Linked DNA regions of Lonchura striata. The protein of the gene in region 2 interacts with the protein of the main gene of each other region in a pairwise test. Links are inferred from orthologs where the notes say so. Each region holds a gene or a part of one and is shown on either strand. Other genes may lie near its edges.

The links. The genes of interacting proteins can lie anywhere in the genome.
Region 1: the proteins of MOCOS (region 2) and PARVA interact in binary tests that used the Homo sapiens proteins (3 or more experiments, as listed by UniProt). The two-hybrid records come from large-scale screens. The link is inferred for Lonchura striata from reciprocal best matches to the Homo sapiens genes MOCOS and PARVA.

Annotation. Positions count from the first base shown.
Region 1 is NC_134608.1:58,364,781-58,371,720, forward strand, and holds the start of PARVA (alpha-parvin), read left to right. Parts: upstream 1-3,140; 5' UTR 3,141-3,242; coding exon 3,243-3,378; intron 3,379-6,940. UniProt on the Homo sapiens protein: Plays a role in sarcomere organization and in smooth muscle cell contraction. Required for normal development of the embryonic cardiovascular system, and for normal septation of the heart outflow tract.
Region 2 is NC_134603.1:65,142,730-65,149,669, reverse strand, and holds the start of MOCOS (molybdenum cofactor sulfurase), read right to left. Parts: upstream 4,752-6,940; 5' UTR 4,725-4,751; coding exon 4,601-4,724; intron 1-4,600. UniProt on the Homo sapiens protein: Sulfurates the molybdenum cofactor. Sulfation of molybdenum is essential for xanthine dehydrogenase (XDH) and aldehyde oxidase (ADO) enzymes in which molybdenum cofactor is liganded by 1 oxygen and 1 sulfur atom in active form.

The sequences.
Region 1 (6,940 bases), on a different chromosome or scaffold from region 2:
ATACAATTAATTTGATGTAATGTTTGGCTTATCTGGCTAAACAAGGCGCTGACAGGGAGTGTGGTGAGAGCTGTCATGGTCTGCTTCACATTTCTCTATGCCAGGTGCAGCAGGGCCAGCCTGAGCAGCAGCCTGCTCACTGCTGTGTTCTGTGCTGGGCTCGTGGAGCATGATCCTGGAAGTATTCTATTGTCAAATATAGAGCAGAGCAAACTCCATCCCCACAGCTGCCATAACTCAGACCTCGAGAATACCTATAAAGCCTTTTGTGATGAATGCAATATTAATTTAAGGCCATAACTTAGATCTTGTGTATATCTATAAAACTTTTTGTGATGAATGCAACATTAATTTAAGGCTATACGTTAATATATATTCCCACATAACAAGAAAAAAAAAAAAAAAAAGGTAGCCTATGTAATTCTAAATGTAAGATACAGGGGGAAAATGTTGTAATTATCCTCAAAGTGAAATATCACAACTGGAAAAATACTGCAGTAATGTTACACACAATGAACTGCACATAAATCCTGCAAGAAATCCCAAAATCAAAACTGTAAACTTAGGGTCTGGCTGTTGCTTTAGCATCTTACTTAAAGCACACAGTATTTAAGTTTCCTGATGTGATAAAGTTAATCTTAAACACATTGTTTCATTTCATTTTTTTCCCCTTGTGATGTCAAGCTCCCATAGTTCATGAGGCTATTAAAGAAGTAATACTGTATTTATCATTAATTTACATATACTCAGTGTTGAGAAATAGGAAAGATTCTGTGCCTTCTTAAGAGTTTTGTGAGGGACTTGGCAAGTGCATATTGAATTCTGACTACCCTGTACTGCACAGGCTCTTTATGAAGTATCTGGCTTGTTCCTTCTCTATTTACCACAAACACAGGGGTACTTGTGCTTACCAAAATGTTCCCTCTTCTGCTGTGGCCACAAAATCCTGTATTGACATCCATGTATAGTCATTTGGCTCCAAATGGAGATTCAGCTGGGTCACTGCTCTGTTTGTAAATGTCACAGATTTACAGACATATTTTTACAAGTGCTTACTGTGTGTATTTCTCCTTTTGAAGCTTTTATTATGTTCTTAAAAATGATACATACACTGTATAAGCAGGACTTCTGTATAAGGAGAATAATGTGTGAAATTCAGGCTGAAATTCATAGACAAGAGGCCTGAGACAATAACTGGTGCTAGAACCAGAGAGAAAATGTAAGGAAAGGATTGTGCTAAGGCTTGGGCTCATTCCTGCTGATAACTGATGGCAGGATGGATGAATAGAGTTTTTTTCCAGGGCACATACTAACTGCATGCAATAAACAGAGATTGATGTCTGCCCCTCATCAGCTAACCAATGTTACCAGCTCATAAAAACACAACAATTATTAGCTGATTTAGAAATATCCTCATGGTAATTTCATTTCACTTATTATGCCTAATGGATAGCTAGATATTTGCATGAAGTGTGTGTGGCTTTTTGCCTGAATTGTTAATCAAGTGATTAAGTGGTAAGTGAAAGTAGTGCATCCAGATGACATTAATGCTGTTCCACTCCTGGATGCCTCCTGAACCAGTCACAGCAAATTATCTGTTTTAAACCTCCCATAAGCTGCTCATCTGCAAATCAAAGCAGGGTTGGTATAGGCAATCTATCATGTTAAGTCACCTTTCCTTCCACAGGCTTTTTATACTGGTCTGACTACAACAGTTGTTTTGTTTTGTGGGAGTGGATATGATGATGCCCACAGCTTCTCACCACAGACACAGCTGAAGACTGCAGGCAGAAGAGCTTTCCAAAATGTTATCCAGACTGAAATGTATGTAGTAAGCTTGAATTTGCAGGAAACTATTCAGTGACATTTTATTACTTCATAAGTTCTTTTGTGTGTCCAGGTCTGGCGCCTCCAACACAAGAGAGATGAGCTTGATGGAGCATGTCTAGAGGAGGCTACCAAGGTGCTTAGAGGGCTGGAACACCTCTCCCATGAACACAGGTTGAGAAAGTTGGGGTTGTTCAGCCTGGAGAATGCTTCAAGGAGACCTAGCAGCCTTCCTGTACCTAAAGGGGGGGTTACAGGACAGCTGGAGAGGGATTTCTTGCAAGGGCAGGTATTGTAAATGCAGGAGAACCCAATGGGAAGAAATGACGATGTCTGACTCAGTTCTGAAGGCTGAATTATTTCTTTATTATAACTATGCTAAAATACATCAATATACTATATAAAAGGAGGATACTAAAACTACATACTACTTTCTCTGACTCTTAACACAACTCATGACCCTCTCTGAGAGCCCAGCCCCAGGTGGGTTGGATTGGCCATCAGGCTCAAACAATCCTCACCTGAATCCAACCAAGCACTCACCCCAGGTAAACAATTCTCCACACACATTCCACATAGGAAAAACAAGGAACAGAAATTGTTTTCTCTTTCATTTCTCTCTGTGCACCTCTATGAAAATCCTGAGAGGGAGATAAATGTGCTTGCCCCAGGCAGGTAGTGACAGAAAACGAAGAAATAGTCTTAAGCTGAAGAAGTGAAGATGTTTAGACAAGATATTAAGAAAAATCTCTTTGTTGGGAGGGAGGGTGGTGAGGCTCTGGAACAAGCTCTCCAGAGAAGCTTTGGCTATTCCATCCCTGGAAGCATTCAAGGCCGGGTTAAATGGAACTTTGAACAATCAAGTCTAATTGTAGGTGTCCCTGCCTATGGCACTGTGTTGGAAACTAGATTTTCTTTAAGACCCCTTCCAACCCGGACCGCGATTCCATTTTTCTGTGGGTGCTGAGCACAGAACGTAGCTGCGACTCCATCCTTCCGGCCCTTCCCCTTGGGGTAGCCGAGGATGAGCGGCACGGTGTCCGTATCCACCTTTCCCTTTCGGCACGCTACCCGGCACCCAGCCGGGCCACTCACCCACCCAGCCCAGGGGTGGAGGATGGAGCGGGGGGCGAGGCGCCGGGCCCCCGCACAGCGAGCGAGCCGCGGCGGGGAGCGCAGCGCGGCTCCCGCACCGCCCGCGGCCACCGGCAGCCGGGCGAGGCGAGCGGGCCCTCCCCGGCGGGAGGGAGGGCGGGCGGAGGGAGGGAAGGAGCGGGAGAGCCGGGAGAGCGGAGCAGGAGCTGCCTCAAATGCTTGAAATAATTCCGCTTCCGTTCAGAGCCGGGAGCAGCCTCCCACGGCACCGCGGCCTCGGAGCCGCCCGCTCCGTCCCCAGCGCCGGCGGCTGGCCCAGCATGGCCACCTCCCCGCAGAAATCCCCTTCGTCCCCCAAGTCCCCCACCCCCAAATCGCCCCCCTCCAGAAAGAAGGATGACTCCTTCCTGGGCAAGCTCGGCGGCACGCTGGCCAGGAGGAAAAAAGCGAAAGAAGGTAAAAATTAACGACGGGCTTGCACGTTTCCTGGGAGTTACCTTGCTGTGGGGGGGGAGGAGACAGGGGGAGAGGAAAAGCTCTGGGGAGCGGGAGGAAGGGGCTGGCGGGGAAGGACGTGCGGAGCGCGGTGGGCAGGCGAGGGAGGAGCCGCCCCGGCCCCGCCGCTCCCGGGGCCGCTCCCGGGGCCGCTCCCGGGGCCGCTCCCGGGGCCGCTCCCGGGGCCGCTCCCGGGGCCGCTCCCGGGGCCGCTCCCGGGGCCGCTCCCGGGGCCGCTCCCGGGGCCGCTCCCGGGGCCGCTCCCGGGGCCGCTCCGAGTCTGTGTCCAGTGTCTGTGTGCGGGCCCGGCCGGGGAAGGAAGGAATGAAGGAAGGAAGGAGCGCTGCCCGCAGCGGGCCGGGCGGCCGGCGGGCCCCGCAGGCCTGGGAGCGCCCGGGGATGGGTTTTCCCTGGGAGCGCCCGGGGATGGGTTTTCCCTGGGAGCGCCCGGGGATGGGTTTTCCCTGGGAGCGCCCGGGGATGGGTTTTCCCTGGGAGCGCCCGGGGATGGGTTTTCCCTGGGGGCGCCCGGGGATGGGTTTTCCCTGGGCAGGATTTGTGTGCTGAGCCCTGTGTAACGCGGTGTGGTCAGCGCACGGCGCTCTGTGTGATGCACGCCGCTGGTGGGGATCCATAGCAGCGCTCGCGGGCAATGCAGGGATCCCTGTGCTGAGCAAAAGGCTTGCCTGGCCACAGCGAACCTTTACAGGACTCAGCATATACAACAGTCCGGTTCTTTGTCCGTACTTGTGAATTAATACCCGCCCCCCCGCTGAATTTTCCTATATGAAACCCCGTGAGAGAGACAGAATTGGAATTTAACCTTGCTCACCCATCGTTTTGACAGCTGAACTTGATTTAAATATGATGCAAATAGAGACAACATAACAGTCGCTTCAAAACAGGCTTTCTAGCAAAATTCATTGCTTGCCAGCGTGAAGAAGGGTGTGAGGCTCAGCACCCCTTGCTCCTCGTGTGCACATGGGCACTGAAGCCAGACACAGAGTGTTTTGGAGAAGCGCCAGGGCTGTGGACGAGAATGACATAACTTGGGAGCGTACAGCTCCTCATTCTCTTAACTATCACGTCATGTTTCTGTGATGTGCAGTCTTGCTTTTCGATTAAATCCATGTTGCACGATTGTGCTCACATTATTTGTCTTTTTCTGGTCATTTCAGATGGACCAGATGTTGATGAAATAGTAAAGAATTACAACTCAATTACCTATTTTTAAAAATTATCCTGTTAGAGTATTTATGACTATCAGCAGCACTGAGCTAGCAAAAATCTTCCTTGATGAGTCCATGTTGTAGGTATGTTTATAGAGACCTTTAAGCCTATTTGTGGCAGTTTGAGTATGTCCATTATATTGTCGTTAGTACTGTTTTTACTATTAAATACTTTTTTCCTTAGTGACAGATACCTGAAGTCAGAAATCTCCAGCAAACCTTCAGAGGCAGCAATTGCTTTTATCCACTATCTTGTAATCTTACAAAAAGATGTCTTCTGTGAAATCATACTTCTTATTAATGCATTACATGTATTGATTAAAACCTGCACCTGCCATTTCATTATCATGGTCTATGCTTTTGAAATTTGGAAACTGAATTGTCCTTGTCTTTTGCGTTTCCCAATTTTCTAAGGTCTATCTAAAAATAACTGGATTAGAGAGCTGGGGTTTTTTTTATTAACTTTGTAAGGACTGTTATTTGCTGATGGACGAAAATGTATTGTATTAATTTCACCTTAGTATCCTTTTTACTTGCCTGTATATTTTTGACATTTCTTTGGTAGAAGCGTATATAGAGGTGAAATTGATAGTATGCTATCTTATCTTTCTGTTTATTGATTTATGGGTTTTAACACATTCAGGTGGCTTCAGCCTTACTGTGAAGCCTGTCCTCTTTCTTAGTTCCTAATTTTTCTCTACTAAAAAGAAATACAAGTTTGCAAACTATTAATAAGCATTGTTCTTGCTGGCTGTGGCCCACGTAGCTTCCATCGTAAGTTGTGCTTATTGTTTTTGTAGGGCTCCAGGTGTTTTTGAAGCCTAGCTAGGAATTTCAGAGGTCAGATTGCGTGTTCGTCTAGGATCTGAGTTTTGGTGTTTTTTTCCTGTTTTAACCAAACTGTGGTAGGTTTCCTATGGAGGTGGGTCTTGGTCATAGAAGTGCAAGTGGTTATTCAACTGCTTATGCGCAGGATGTATAGGAAAATGTTCAGAATAACTCAGGATAAATGAGGGACAACTGAAAATTTGCATGTCTTTCAGTTGGTGTAAATTCTGCTGTTACACAGAGCACAGAAGCATATTGATTTCCTTCACTGTTTTACCACAAGGTCTAAGAACTGGTGGTTTTTAATAATGCAAAAATGTTTTGTCTTTTGTAGGGACTATGCTGGTTGCACTTTAGTACCATCTCTGCTGTATGTGTAGTTAACTGTTGTAGGCGATACACAATTACACATCTGTGAGTTTTGTATTTTTGTCATCAACAGGTGTTTTGATCATTGTCAGAACTACATTTTTGTATATTGCAACAACAGAGCCAAAATGCTTCACCAAATGAAAATCTTTTAGGCTCTGAAGTGACTTTATGATGAAGAGTAACGCAGATTATTTATGAAAAGAGTAAAGTTTATGTAGTTTTAGGTGTAAAATAGTTTATGATACAACATAAAATGCAGTTTCTGTATTGACATTAATTTATATGCATAAATATATATATAAAATATACAGCAAACATTTGCTTATGCATTTCAAAGTTCTTGGCAATGGTGGAGGTCCACCAGTGGAAGAGGTGAGGGTAGTCTAGACGAGTGAAATGAATTCTCTAATATCAGAGCACAAGTTATTGACCAAAAGAAAGAGAGTAACCTGAAATACTTGAGATATCACACATGATGTAAGCACGGATTAGTCATACCATAAGACATATGTTAATATGGCAAATACATTGCCATTAAATATTAGAGAATACTTGATAAAATCTGGAGGTTGGAGCTCAGATTTGTTTATGTTGTTGTCTGTCACGTAGAGCCGTAGTCTGGTTTTCATTTACAGCATCTCATCACCAGTGGTGTAATTCAAGGATGAGAACATTGTACTGTGGTCTTCCCTGTGAGAGCATCTGCAGCTACATCTTTAAATGGAGCATACATTCTGTTGAGGTAGCAAAATTACAAATTTTTAAGGATGTTTGGAATTAATTAAATTAGCTTTTTTAGGCACTGAGAGAATTGTGAACAAGGACTGGAATACTTGACAGCCTGTCTGCAAACTGAACTGCAGTATGCAAAAGTTATTAGTGGTTTTTAATAAGGTTCTGTCCCCTTCATTGCTGAAAGGCATTTAAAGACTGGCTATCCCATAAATGCTAGTCAGGCATCCCAGTCCTTATCTATCAGGAGTTCAGATACACGATGGAGCTCATCATATGAGCAGAAAAAAACCCCACAAATTAGATTTTTTGTAAGCTTGCTATAGTATTCTGTACTGTGTACTAAACATGTCTTTAAACGC
Region 2 (6,940 bases):
CAGTTGCCTTCTAGTATTTCAGACTGTCCAACAGCAGCTTCCTTTGATAAATATAACATCATTTTCTTTCTTTTTCCCTCCAAACAAAAATAAATAGATGTTTCACAAAATCAAATCACATTCTGGTGGAGAGGCTACAGAGGATAGGAGCAGGTTACCAGAGATCTCACAGCCAACCCCCCAAAAGCAGTCATTTTAGGATGCAAAAATTTTTCTTTTTTTCCCTTTTTTTTTTTTCCAAAATAAAGAAGAAGCCTCAGGCACAAGACTGGTAGAATTTCTGGTTGACAAGGCAAGCCTACATGAGGTGAGCATGACTCTTGAGGCTCACAGTCCACTCATCTTCACAAGTTTAATAAAGTGTGAGCATCAGCTACTTATCAACAAAATCACTCCAAGCTGACACACTAAATTGTATTTCTTATCTCTGAAGTTCACCCAAAAGAAAACTAGATTACCCTAAAGGTGACAAAACAGATAGACTTTTCTGTTCTCGGAGGACAGAGATGAACTTTGCTAACCGAGCTGCTGAGGACTTAACTGCAGCACACAGAGATCTGCTTTTCACGTTCTCCTACTCAAAGGAAAAGTCACCACACAAACAATTATCAGCAATATGAGTAAAAATAGACTTATTTTTGTGTAAAGTCAAATCCAAAACCCAGCTATTCTTTAAGTGAACAGTACAATAAGTTCTTGTACAGGTGACCAGTTCATGAGACATCATTTGAGTCCCAAAGAAACAAAGTCCAATTCTGTTACTCAAAGCTCAGTCTGCCTTTCCTCTTTATTTAACAGAAAAATTTTGTTATTATTGTTAGTTGTATGTAATCACAAATACCACGAATGTTCATACTACTAAGGTAAGGCATGATGTCCAAGTACAGGAAAGTGACTGATTTGACATTAAATGGGATAGTCCATCTCAAGCTCACCTAAAGACTGTCTTCAAATAGTCAGAACCCCTTAAAGAATACCCGATTCTTATTACATGCTAGTTTTTATCTGGAGAATGAATATCCACTGCCTACTGCTCTTGAACGCTCTGAACTACCACAGCTATATTAGACAAGAATACTGGCACACAACTTAAAATGGAAAGGTATCTTGTGATTAAATGCTGCATCCAAATCAGGTCAGCTTTTTCCTTTTTAAAAACATGATACAAACTGAACCTGGTATTTTCCTTGCTATGATAAACATCACAGAAGCATATTCATCCCCATTAGTTAACAACAGAACCTATAAACTCTTGCTGATTTCTTTATCCGTTTCTAAAGCACAATTTTAAATCCTACACTGCAGATAAGGGTACACTGTTCACAAGATTAAAGTCAAGGTCACATATTGCACATACGCTGCTGCCTGTGAAACAGCGATCTGTTTCACAGACTCCATATATATTTTTAGAAAGGGCTGCTCTAGTCATCAGCTAACAGCCTTTGAATTACAGAAGCAAAGATAAACTGTGGCTTAAAAGGGAAAATTTAAGGCTTCTGTGCCAAAACAGGCAGACCCCTACTGATTTAAGGAAGTAAAGTAGTTCTTTTTATCTCTTCAAAAAACCTGAAGGGGAAATCCCCAACACACTGAGTATGAACCCTACTTTCCTTCTGATGGAACTAAGAGTGCAACTCCCCAAGACTTGATACAGGTGGACCACCTTTGAGAAATCCTGGCTTCACAGTATGCCTGGTAGCTAAGCTGGCGCTCTCTTCAAACATCTTTTGCACCTTCTGCTCAACAGGCACCTGTGCAACTATTCATACTAAAGCTACAACAGAAGCACCAGCACCATATAAGCAATGGTCTGTAACACAGAAAAGATTTCTGCCTTCCCCAGGAACACCATTTGTGCAATATATCCTTAGTGGATGCCACAAAATATTAGTAATCAGGAAAAAGTGAATACATTGATACACAACAATTACTACCACATGAGGCTCATAAAAAAATGACACTTCCTAAATCAAACATTAGGCTTAATTCATGGGTATCTAGAAGGGGACTCCAAAAATTCTGTTCACACAAAAAGTGAGCAGCAAAATCTGGATTTTTAACCAGCTTTAATGACTGAAGGATGTTCAATGCATGACCCAAATAAACAGGGTACAGGCTGAGACAGTGAGGCTGCTCACCCTGGAGAAGGCTCCAGGGAGACCTTGTAGCCCCTTCCAGTACTTAAAGGAGGCTTACAGGAGAGGTGGAGAGAGCATGTACTCACAGAACAAGACGGAATGGATTCAAACTGGAAGAGAGTAGGTTTAGATTAGCTGTTTGGAAGAAATTCTTTACTATAAGGGGAGTGAGGGACTGAAACAGGCCACCTGGAGATGTTGTGGACTCCCCATCCCTGGAGGTGTTCAGGGCCAGCCTGGGTGGAGCTTTTAGTGACTGGTCTAGTGGAAGGTATCCCTTTCCATGGTGGGGGGGTTGGAACTAGATAATCTTTAAGGTCCCTTTCAACCCAAACCATTCTATGATTCTATGACTCCTGTTAATTCCCTAAAACAGCACAGGTTTTCTTTTGCCCAGTGGAAATAGTTAAGACTTGCTTTTACCAGAAGGGACGAAACTGCAGCAGCTTTGTGCAGTTGGGAAACACAGAGCAGAGCTCAACACCATGAACAGGTAGAAGTTCCTATAATAATCACTGTTTGTACAGTCAGGACTTAACCAGAGAGTTGATCCTAGACCACCAGAGATGTAAAATCTCTACCTCATCCTGCAACTTACATGTTCTGTCAGGCCATGGAAAATGCTTGAGCAGCTAAATGCTAATTTTTGTAAGTCACTTGGAGAAGGTTCCTTTATTTACTATTGCTGCCACCAACCTGTACTTTAGCCACTCTTTCTTTACCTTGTTTCTGCAAGACAATAAAACTGAGAGCTTTAAAAGACTTCTCATTACATCAACGTCAGCGTGTTGAGACCTTTGGCAAGTGAGGATGCATGACTAAATTAAAGGAGGTCAGTAAATAAATAAAAGCAGTGTGCTTCTCATCCACACTGCTCTGCTGTCAGCCAGCTCCTGAAGTCTGTCATGGACTAGTCCAATTAGTCAGCTTTGAGACCAAGAGATGTGTTAGGCAGGGGACACTAGGCCCAGGAAGCTGTCTCTGGCCACCTTTCATTCGGCATTGGTGGTATCACTTGAAGGCACCAGTTCCTGACCAGAAACATGTTGCTGTTTGTCAGACAAGAAGTCCCAGAGACACCACGTGCATGTACAGCAGCAATCAGTTACATTTCCTCACTGACACTGAGTTTCCTCACAGAAGAGAAAAGCTTGCAAGATGAATGGATGACAATTCATTAACTGGATATCATGTTAAAATTCCAAGTGGGAAATCAAAAGACGGAAGGATTTTACAACCTGGGTCACCTCACCATAGCTGATTATGTGATTTCACACAGCTAATGTTATTTAAGATTCTATTTTATATCCTGTATTTTTTCATCTCTTTCTAGAAATAGTCTAATATCTGTAGATACCTTTCCATCTACATCTTGTTTCAGCAGCCTGTGCAATTCTGAAGACTACATTAGCAAAAATATTTTCATATGGAGGAAACCTCCTAATGCTCTGTTTTTGCAGTAACCTTCCTTTGGGAACCAGACATCATTCACTGACAGATACACTTTATTTTAAAACTGGAAAGCCTCTGAGAAATTAGCCTAATTCTTGAGAGTTTTTAAAACTCATCTGTTTAAAGGCCTAAACAATGTTTCAGTCACCAAATATACACTTTTCAGAACTTAAGCCTAAATTTTGGATAAGCAACTTCTTTTGTTCCAATTTTCACCGGTGCAACTACTACGTCTAATAACAGATTGTAACACTGACTTACTAAATCTCCCAAGTTCTTCGAAGTGCTGCTTAAGCTTTTCTCATGTTCCTCTAGAGGCCAAGTATACCTCCATTCAAACTAAATACCCATGGGTGAGAAAGCCCACTCTTGTATTCAATCACAAAAACTCATGAAATTACAAAAATAAAACGAGCAGTAACATAAACCTCTCAAGAGAAACAGGGGCCTAAATAACAGTTATAGGGCATTCAAACTGATGCTAGTCACTCTACTCTCTACCTGGAGCTTTTTGTCATAACATTTTTGAAGTGCCAATACCATAAGCATTGGTCTTTAAACAGAACAAATTACTATCATATAATCATCACGATTATACTTGAAGTAGAATGCACAAGGGTGTTTAATGCTGGGGGGATGGTAAAACCTATAGAAGTAAATGCAGTTCACAAATACCTGTCTAACTATAAGCTTTCACTAGCAACGGGCTGATTTACTATTATAATAATAATAGTACCCTCTCAACCCCCCTCTTCATATCCACATCGAAATCTTATTACTGAATCCATGGCACCTTTGAGGCTTTTGTGCCGGAGGGAGGACAGGTTCCACAGGAAGGAGGAGGGGGAGAGCGGCCCCTCGCCCCCGAGCGTGCGGCAGAAGCCGCGGCAGCGCGCCGAGCGCAGCGCTCTCCGCCAGCGTCCCGCCCCAGAGCCCTCCCGCGGGGCCGAGCGGGGCCGGGACTGGCCCGGGCCGGCCCCGCCCCGGCCCGCCCCCGGCCGCCGCCGTACCTCGGAGCCGGGGGAACTCGCGGTCCCGCAGCGCGCCCAGCGCGTCCCCGTGCCCGTAGCCGTACTCGCAGCCGGCGGGGCGGGCGGCGCGGAAGGCGCGGAAGGAGAGCGGCTGCCCGGCCATGGCGCCCCGGGCTCGCAGGGCCCGGCGCGGACCGCGGAGCCGCCGCGGCCGCTGCCTCCGGCCCGCTCGGCTCGGCTCGGCTCGGCTCGGCTCGGCACGGCCGATCTGCCCCGCCCGCCGCCCGCCCCGCAGGCGCCGGGGCCGGTCCGGCCGCGGCTGAGCCGGGCGCTGCGCTGGCACAGGGAGGAGTTTCCCGTAAGGAAGACGTTTCCCGAAGCGCCGGGAGATCGGCTTGGGGGTGGTAGCAACAAGTGTACCCTCCTGTTGAGGCATGCTGTTGAAAATTCTTCATGGAAATCTCTCTCCCCTAAAATTTTCCAGTTCAAGCTCAGATTTCCCTTGATACCTCTTCCAATGCTGATAAAAACAGAGGTCACTTGCTCATACCTTGCACTTGGTGTACAGTACTCCTGCATCATGTCGAGCTGGTTCTCTTGGCCATAGAAGCTGTGCAAAGTACCACGGGCCAAAGCCAGAGTTGTGGAATGGGCTAGTCCCCAGGGATATTGTCCCATGTAAAAACCATTCCTGAAAAATCCTCTGCTTTGTCAGATGAACTATAACCATACACTTAATAAAAAAAAAAAAATCACAACCAAAGGAATGCGTTTGTTGAGGTTTTTTTTTTGTTTGTTTCTTTCATTGTTGTTGTTGGGTTTCAATTGGGGCTTTTCGTTGTTTTGTTATGCTGTTTTCACATTAATTTTTTCCTGACATACTACTCACTGAATTTTTCTACTTAATCTGCAGAGCATTAAATTACCTTCAAAGTTAGTTCAATACCAAAATAAAACTTCACATTAGGATGGACCTACATCTGAAAACTGGTAAGGCAGACTCTCATTAGATTGTTTGAAATGCTGCTAGTGGGATATCAGTGAAATGGGAAACTACACAGAACAAACTTCAGCCCAAACTGAACTCTAAAGATTTGCACTTTAGAAGTGGTACCAAAATAAAACCATGTAGAAAATTATAAAATAAGCCTAACATGAAATATAGCATGCTAATGTGCCCCCTGCTTTATATCTAAGAATTTTTGTCTAATTTAAACACGTAGCCCTGGCTTCAGGGCATATATTTCTATATGCTATATAACACTATAAACGTGTTTGACCCTGACTCTCTATTCATGCTTGGGGTAGGTATATAGTGTATGACATCTTCAGGTGACACTGTACACCTTTCAGCCAGCCGATGATTTTACTGAAACTAATTGCCAACTAAGTTACACCTTAACCATCTCATTCCAGATGAACAAAGCACCACTGAGAAAAAAAAGAACAGTAGCTATCAAGTGGAGCAATGTTCTTGGCTGATCTCTTGAAGTCACTTAAAAAAAAAAAAAAAAAGGCAAGCAAACAAAAACCTTGCACCAAATAGCTTTTTAAAAATTATTTTAACAGTTTATGCATTGCAATTTAGGAGAACTTATGCCACCATTATGATTTATTTTTTTATTGCAAGTATATGTAGAAAATATCTGCTATGGATTTTCCTTAATATTTCTAGCTTCCTGTTGTCAATTTACAGAGCAATTTATTTATATTGACTGCTATGCACAGTTCCCTCACTATTTGCGTATATTGTTTACGTCAAATAGTTGTTTCAATCCCTTATTGAAACAAGTTTTCCCCATCAAAACAGATGACAAAATGCAGCTTTCTGATCTTACAATAAATGTGTCTTGAGGACCTAACTTTCATTCACAATTTTATGTAAATATGGTCCCTCACAATTGATTTGTCTCTTTCCTTGTCCTGATTTTTGAAGAACAGCCCTTTGGAAGTAACACAAACATGGAGACAGTACTAACTGGGAATGTGCTCTGTTTGCACACTGTATGTAGCCTTGTGATGATGACTGATTCTTGAGTTTCCAATAAAGTGCTTAGTCAATCCATCATAAAGGCTGACCAGAGTATTTAAATAATAAGAGGCATTCAGATCACTCAGCATCAGTATAGAAGTTTTTGTGTTTGATGATTAGTATAACATCTAAAAAACTAATTAGGCTTTACTGTTAACTCTGTTTCTGAGGTAAAAGCTGGAGATTTCATAGAATTTCAACATGAAGCCACAACTTTCAGCTCTGAACTTGGTCACACCCAGCTTGCCTAACCACAACAGGACTATCCCAAGGCACATCTTACAGTGTTCTGCTTTGACAAAGCATTACTGACAAGGCTGGTATAAAATATGCAGACTAATGCTGTA